Linked DNA regions of Sus scrofa. Each later gene encodes a partner of the first gene's protein in a complex. Links are inferred from orthologs where the notes say so. Each region holds a gene or a part of one and is shown on either strand. Other genes may lie near its edges.

Region 1 (3,797 bases):
TGGCCAGCATGGTTTCACCAAGATCAAGTCAAGCCTGACAAGTCTCAATTTTGTCTTCACTACGGATACCAAATTAGCAGACCGAAGGAGTGCCAAAGACCGTACAGTGGGACTTCAGCAAGGTATATGAGAATGCTTCTGTAGTGACTATCTCATAAAATTATTATGAAAAACAAAATGAAAAGATAGGGGAAAAAACAGTATATGTTGAAGTGCCAGAAAGATGAGGGTGTTGATTTTCATGGGTATATTCCAGGTGCACATCATAAAATATCAGCGTGGGAAAAACAGTTAAGGCCTTAGAGATAGGAATCTCACACTGGAGGAGACAGGAGGGCTGCAGGCCACTACCCGAAAGCAGGGTCATCAGTAAAGTATCCCAGGAAGAGGGAGGTATTGAAAAATAACAGAACAGTAGCTGCTAAAGGAGAGGGAGCCAGAGGAGGCCTGCCTTTTGCAACCACCTGGCAGGCTCTTTCTAACACCCGTGTCAGCCCATTTATCTTCACCTTCCCCAAATTCTTGACCTATTCTAATTTAGCAGGCCTACAGTGGGGCCTAGAATGTGAATTTTGGCCAAACACCTTCAGCTTTTGTGACATAATCCTCACCTCTATTTGTGCATACTAATCTACATAGGCATCTAAAAACACGTTATTTATCATTCCAGTTGAGTTGCTGTTATTGTTTTCATCTGATAATTATGGATCAACACTTTCACTATGACATTTTCATATATGAAGCAAGCCTCATTTAGTGCAATTGTTTACCTTAGTGAGATTTGGGTAGCAACTCGAATTAATCGTGGCTGACTTCCTAAGTCATTTTCTCGTCCACTTAGTGCATCCACTAAGAAGATACGCCGAGTCAGGAGCCACTTGCCAGAGTTGCTGTCTTTTATCATTAAAAAAAAAGAAAAAAAATGGCATTTAAATAATATCTTCTACTGTTCAAGATGGCGCTCAAGGAGAAGTTTACTCCACAAATTTAAAACATGACATTAGTACACTTTGTTTTAGATGAGATGGTTGCAAAAATAGCTACTGATGCAAGAAATTCCTGGTCATGGCTTTCTCTACCTGTACCTGAATGTCTTCTAAGTGTCTGGACTTTTCATCAGTTTAGAAGTATTATCCCTGCAAATTTCCTGAGCCAATAGGATTTTATAACATGATGAACAAAAAAGAAACTAATTTGCCCAAAAATCAACTCAAGGACAGCTTGAAGAAGCCCTGATTTTACAGTTCTACTAATTTTTCCCAGGATACACTTTTAGCAATAATATAATTTCTTAATAAGCTTGACACAGTTAGCAAAAATTTCTGAATATACCAGCAACCTTACTGTTTTACTTTTGGGCATGCTATATAAAACCCTATAATTAGGGAGTTCCCGTTGTGGCTCAGTAGTTAACGAATCCGACTAGGAACCATGAGGTTGCGGGTTCGACCCCTGGCCTCACTCAGCGGGTTAAGGATCCAGTGTTGCCGTGAGCTGTGGTGTAGGTTGCAGACACAGCTCGGATCCCAATTAGACCCGATTAGACCCCTGGCCTGGGAACCTCCATACGCTGCTGGTGTGGCCTTAGAAAAGGCAAAAAGACAAAAAACAAACAAACAAACAAAAACCTTATAATCAGAGAGAATCTATGACCTTTCTTATAATCTGTAGTTTACTAAATTATTATCTTGGTAGACTTATTTATGGATTTCAGCTCAGAGAAAGAATGGTGTGGATGGATGTCTTACCTTGGTTCACAAATATTTTATTGTGCTGAAGATTTAAGTTTAACACAGGCACAGCCCAAATATATTGGTGTTGATTTTCATCAGTATATTCAATGTACACATCATAAAATGTAGGAGTGGGAAAGTCAGTTAAGATCTTAGAGATAGGAATCTCACACTGCAAAATAAAATAAAAAGAACCCAAATTAAAAATTAGAAATCATATGTATTATCTTTAAAGGTGTTTTTTAATTATAAAATGAAATACCTTTCAATTATCTTGTTTATGTGCATTTTCATGTGACTTTCAAAACACAAATACTATATACGACTCTTTCATAAGGATCCTACAACCCAGCTGGGGAGGGTATACATTCATTCTCAACAGTAAGAGTACTGCAGTGAAAAGGTAGGTTTAAAAACGCCTATCCTGTGAGGTAAGGTCCTTTTTCTCCTGATGCACACTGCTGTTTATGATTTGGCTCTCCTTCACAAAGCCAGGATTTCCCTCCAAAGCTTCCTGTCTATCTATGGTCCATTCAAACTGATCTATTTATAGTCTCTAAATATGCTATGCTCTCTGTCATTGCAAATGGTGTTTCCACCTGACGTTCTCTTCCCCACTATGCTCTCCTGGCAAACTCATATTCATTCTTTAAGTTCAAGTATCACTCACTCTGTAAAGCATCTCTTCATTTCCCCGGAACTACTAATGACCCCTCCTTTGGACCAAGAGGGTACCTTGTTCATACTCATAGAATAACACATCACATTCTTTGCAATTCTCAGTCTATATAGTTGCTTTCTCTATTAGGCTGTGAACTACTTGAAAGGTAACCGGGTTCAACGGAAAAAAAAGACATGGTTTTTAAGCCTAACAGAACATTTACTTGATGCAAGACTTTGAGTAAATTACCTAATCTTACTGAGCACCATTTGCCTATCTGAAAAAAAAAAATTAAGTGTACTTTATATAGTTATTTCATGGATCAGGTGAGATAACAATGATAAAATGCTGAGCACAAAGCGGCAGGCATCTTAACAAATGTTGATGCTCCTGGCTCAAGGTAGACATACAACATTTTTAAAAATAATATATAAATCATTTCAGATAATAATAAATTCATGTTCATGATAGAAAATTTAGAAAATATAGGAGAGTCCCTCTGTGGCCCAGCAGGTTAAAGATCTGGCAATGTCACTGTAGTAGTGACACGAGTGGCTGTGGCACAAGTTTGATCCCCAGCTCAGCCAAACAAAAACAAAAACACAAAAAGAAATTTTTTGGGGAAAAAAAAAACAACTGCTATCCCACCATCCAGAGATAAACTACTGTTATAAATGTTTATCTTCTTCCAATCTGTTTTCCATGGTAGTATTTTTCATTGTGGTTTTAACAAAACTGCGATCAGTTTTGTTCTATGTTGTGTGTATATGGATTTTATCAAGAAATATTTTTGTAGGAGTTCCCCTCATGGCTCAGAGGAAACAAATCTGACTAGCATCCATGAGGACGCAGGTTCAATCCCCGCCCTCGCTCAGTGGGTTAAGGATCCGGCATTGCGTAAACTGTGGTGAAGGTCACAGACATGGCTCGGATCTGGTACTGCCACAGCTGTGCTGTAGGCCAGTGGCTACAGCTCCGATTCAACCCCTAGCCTGGGAATCTCCATATGGCGCAGGTGCAGCCGTAAAAAGACAAAAGAAAACAAAAAAAAAGAAATATTTTTGTAGACCAGTGAATTTCCTTCAAACGTTTAATGGCTCATAATATACCTTTGTACCACACTGCAGTTTTAAAATGCATCACCAAAGGAAGGAAGGTCAGGGAGGGGGGGAGGAAAGTATGGAAGGAGAGGAAAGGAAGTTCTTTTATTTGTTACCGGAGGGAAGAGGGAAGAGGGAGTAATAACATTGATTGGTCACCAAAAATAAAATAATATTTTTACTTTATTCTAAAATGCTTAGAAGTAGACATTATTTTTAAGATCTATAGACCTAAAGGCAAATAAACAATTGATTATGATGTTTAAGACTGTATAGGTGATAAGGCACTCTTTTTACACTGAC
Region 2 (4,326 bases), on another chromosome or scaffold:
ATGGCAGTAGCCTGGATCACTACGTCATTAGTGAATAGGTAGAGAAAGGTAACTATCCCAGACTGTTGCTGCAACGGACTTTGCTTTAACCAGAAAAACCCCACATATTAAGTCACTGAGATTTGGTGGCGACTATGACATAACCCAGTCTATTCTGATGAAATGAGACAAAAGAAAATATAGTCTGGACTTCCTGCTGTGACACAATGGGATCAGCAGTGTTTAGGGAGTGCTGGGACGCAGATTTGATCCCTGGCCTAGCACAAGGGGTTAAGGATCCACAGTTGCCACAGCTGCCCCTTCAGTCAAAACTGCAGCTCAGATCTGATCATCCGTGGCCCAGGAACTCCATTCGCCACAGGGTGGCCAAAAATGAAAAAAAAAAAAGAAAGAAAGAAAATATAGTCTCTATTATTGAACTGTCAGCTTAACCAACAGTTATGTTCTGGGTGACTCCAGTCTGGGATGAATACTTTTTTATTTTTAAGGTCAAATATTGACCATATAACTACTGTTATATATCAATCATCATTTTAAAATGGTAGTCATGGATTTCCCGTCGTGGCTCAGGGGTTAACGAACCCGACTGGCATCCATGAGGACACAGGTTCAATCCCTGGCCTCGCTTAGTGGGTTAAGGATCTGGTGTTGCCGTGAGCTGTGGTGTAGGTCTCAGATGCAGCTCAGATCCTATGTTGCTGTGGCTGTGGCATAGGCCAGTGGCTACAGCTCTGATTGGACCCCTAGCCTGGGACTCTCCAAATGTTCTGGGTGCGGCCCTAAAAATACAAAAATAAATAAATAAAGTTAAATGGTAGTCATAGAAGATTACTAGGATTTAGCAATATATACTATTCAGATTCAATTTTAAGAGGAAATTAAGAAATCAAACTAACTTACAAACATCAAATACTGTATTTAGAAAATTTTATACTGAGTGAACTAACTCACCTTGAATAGCACTTTACATGACACCAACCAAATTTAATCAGGACAAAGACAAAAAGAAAAACTCTATTAATTAGAAATCTATTACATGGTCATATTGAAAACTGTCTTAAATCATTACAAATTTAAAATAAAATTAACTTCCACACAAACTCAGCTAGTTTACAAACTAGCTTATTATTTATAATAAGCTGTTTAATAAGGCTAACGAAATAACCCCAATATTTTCTGAACCTACATATACATACTCCCTTCAGTCTAATAATAAAGTGGATTGAACAGATTAAGAACTCTTATTTTGTCACTGACTAAAATCGGCTTAAACTCTGAGGAAACTATTCTAGCAAACAAAAGAGGATCAGAAGTCTGATAAACAAGACACTAAAACATTCCGAATGAATCCATTATCCTAACATGTGGACATTCAATCTTTGATGCAAAAGGTTTAATTATAACTGTTATTTCAATAATTCAAGTATTTTCCACCTTTAAATTTTTAGGAAGCCTTTTCTGAATTATCATAATTATGTAATGGTATAGTCTCAATATGTTTCACTTTATTGATTTTACGTTTTTAAAATTCAATAATAAAATTACTACAAATTACTTTTACCTTGGCACAGGTGGAAGGGCCCGTGGAGGACGCTATGGGGAACAGAAAAAGAAAACGGCTTGTAAGTAAAGCCTTAGAACATCTTTACTTCATGTACCTCACATTTTTGATAGCCCTGTTCATCAGTTAATGCCCAGGAGGCACTGATGAGGATCAAATGGGCAATTTTAAATTTGATCTATCATTTCTAAATTTCTTACAAAAATTCCTTCCTTCCTATATTCCTTACTATCTACAGGCCAGGGCCTGTTCTAAGCATTAGGGATACATTAATGAACAAAACAGAGAAATGCCTGCTTTTTTGGAATTACATTCTAGTGGTTAAGTATTAGAAGATAACATTAAATATATTTATACACACATATATCAGTATGTATACATATATATGCATATATAAATATATATAAAACCATGCACGTTATTACAGTAATGTGTATGATCATATGTATTACTTTAGTTAGGGAAAGTCTCTCTGAGATATTACAGCTGAGATTTGAATAAGAAAGGAACCAAAGGGAGCAAATACAAGGCTTTTAGGGGAGACTGGGCTTAAATAGTTCCAGATAAAAGAAAGCCAGTAAAGAAAAAGCAGTTATCCAAGCATGGGCAGATTAATTAGGAAGACCAAGGGAAGGAGCTTAGATTCTATTTTAATTCCATAGGAAACCGATGGAGGTTTTTAAGACACAGAGTAACACATTAAAAAAAAAAAAAATTCTCTGAACACAGCGTAAAGAACACATTTTAGGGCAGAAAGCATTAAAAAAAAAAAAACTTACAAAAACTTCTTTACATGAAAAAGAAAAGTGTTTGCAGTTCAGAAAAAATACAGTTAAGTGGCATTCTGGAATTTTTCAAAATAAAATACCAACAGAAATGTCTAAAATGCAGTTTAATGTTGCAAGTATCTCAAGCTGCTTGCAGAGGATACTGACTAAAAAGGGTTAAATTTTAAACACTCCGATTGTTTGTTCCACAATTGTCCCATTTCGCTATCCATTCATTCAAAAGATGTATTAATACAAATGCTACTACACTAGGACAAGGTCTTACCACTATCCAGCAGTTAAAATTCAACTGGAAAAAAAGAGAGTCACATGAAAGCGCTATTGTTCTCAAGATGCTAAGGACCGCGTTCTAACCAAGGGCTCAGTTCACAGGGTAACTCCACATTTCAAAAGTCCCGCAAAAATGAGGTGTCATCTATCCAGAAAGTCAGTCTCTACGCTCCTCAAAAGGTGGGTGGCTCAAGTAAACTCAAAAGGAACTAAAGCTGGCTTACCACTTGCTTCTTCCCCATCCTGTCTAAATCCGGGATGCCCCGCGGCCGTGGGCTCCCGGGAGAGGGTTCACCGCCGCCCGGCCCGCTCCCGCGCAGGCGCAATGCGTCATCGGGCTGCGCTGTCCAGGCCGCTAGGACCCACAGCCTCCTCCCAGCAAGATGGGAAGGAAGGGGAGCGGGGTGGGGGACCCTGTCTGGCCTTTTCTGTCTACTCCGGCGTTAAAGGGGGCATCGGAGTCCGGGCTGAAGTGCCCTGGAGGAGAGGCTCCAGCGGGCGCGGGGTAGCAATCACGGTTTTCCCCATGATTTCCCAAGTGGTTGCGGACATTTGTTCCAGGAATGTAAGAGAAGACCAGGACTGAAAGTTCCCCACTGGCAAACGGCGATCTCATTCCCGGGCGGCTAAATGCCCTCCGAGGGGCGTGAATAAGGAGGGCCTCGTCGACTGCCCCCGAAACTCGCAAGGGCTGGGGCCGCTGAGAAGTGAGGCGTCGTCATGGCAACGTGCGCACCCAGGCCCCCGGAAAATTCACGCCTGCCCCCTCACCCGATTCTTGGAGTTCGGGTCCGGCCTTGGGACGAATTTCCAGCCCCCAACCCCAACCCCAACCCCAAGCCTATCCTGTGAGCGCCGAAGGGGCTGCTGCGCGAGCTCCTGGAGCTGGGCTCTCCCCTTTCGATCCCGTCCGCCTCACCCCAGAGGTAGCTGCCCGGGTGGAGCAGAGGCCGACGGGCCCTAAACCGCTCACCGGGTGGTCCTCCTCCACCCCGAGCCCGGAGTCGGCCCTCATGGCTTGGTGCCCGCCGGGCTGCCTCGGCGCAACTGCCGCGGGCCCGAGGCTGCTTCCCCGCGATGCAGAGGTCTCTCGGACTTGCGGGAGGCGGGGGCTTGGTGGCGCCAGACTAGGGCGCCTCCCCAGGTCTCCGCCCGCCTCCGCGCGGCCAAGCTTCGCAATCCCTGGTGTCAGAGACGCATTTAACCACCAAGCCCAAAGTTTAGCTTGGGGTTTGAGTGTGTGTGTTGACGCAGGCGATTCTCGGATTTTCTTCCATTGCTTACCCTCCATCCAAAGAAGCACAGCATAAAATCAAATCTAGGCTCACCAAAGTGTTAATAATGGCTTAATTTTCTTCATTTTGTTTAGACATTTTAGAAAAATAATAAGTATTCATTTCACATGGAAAACTACAGATATTTTGAAGTTTAAGGTTAAGAAGGAGTAAGGGGATGGTGTGGATATGACATACAGGAGTAGGAAGAGCTGCTGGAAGACAGCCTTCGTGGAATAACGTCCTCATGGGGGGGGGGGGAGGTGTCTCAGATATTGGTCTCTACCACCGAAATCCATTCCTCTTTCCTAATTTAAGCATAAATGTAGATACTAGCTTTGGGGAAAATTAATGATTGTTACAGCTCTGATCAAAATAACGTTTCATTGTAGCCTAATGTGTAAAATGATGGGAGCAGTGCTGTTTCTGTAAG

What was found.
Region 2: TMEM67 (region 1) and TMEM237 share a complex: the UniProt entries of both Homo sapiens proteins name them as parts of the tectonic-like complex. The link is inferred for Sus scrofa from reciprocal best matches to the Homo sapiens genes TMEM67 and TMEM237.

What each region holds. Positions count from the first base shown.
Region 1 is NC_010446.5:42,907,032-42,910,828, forward strand, and holds part of TMEM67 (meckelin), read right to left. Parts: intron 1,906-3,797; coding exon 1,749-1,905; intron 895-1,748; coding exon 771-894; intron 1-770. UniProt on the Homo sapiens protein: Required for ciliary structure and function. Part of the tectonic-like complex which is required for tissue-specific ciliogenesis and may regulate ciliary membrane composition.
Region 2 is NC_010457.5:105,272,862-105,277,187, forward strand, and holds the start of TMEM237 (transmembrane protein 237), read right to left. Parts: upstream 2,947-4,326; 5' UTR 2,862-2,946; coding exon 2,844-2,861; intron 1,594-2,843; coding exon 1,562-1,593; intron 963-1,561; coding exon 952-962; intron 1-951. UniProt on the Homo sapiens protein: Component of the transition zone in primary cilia. Required for ciliogenesis.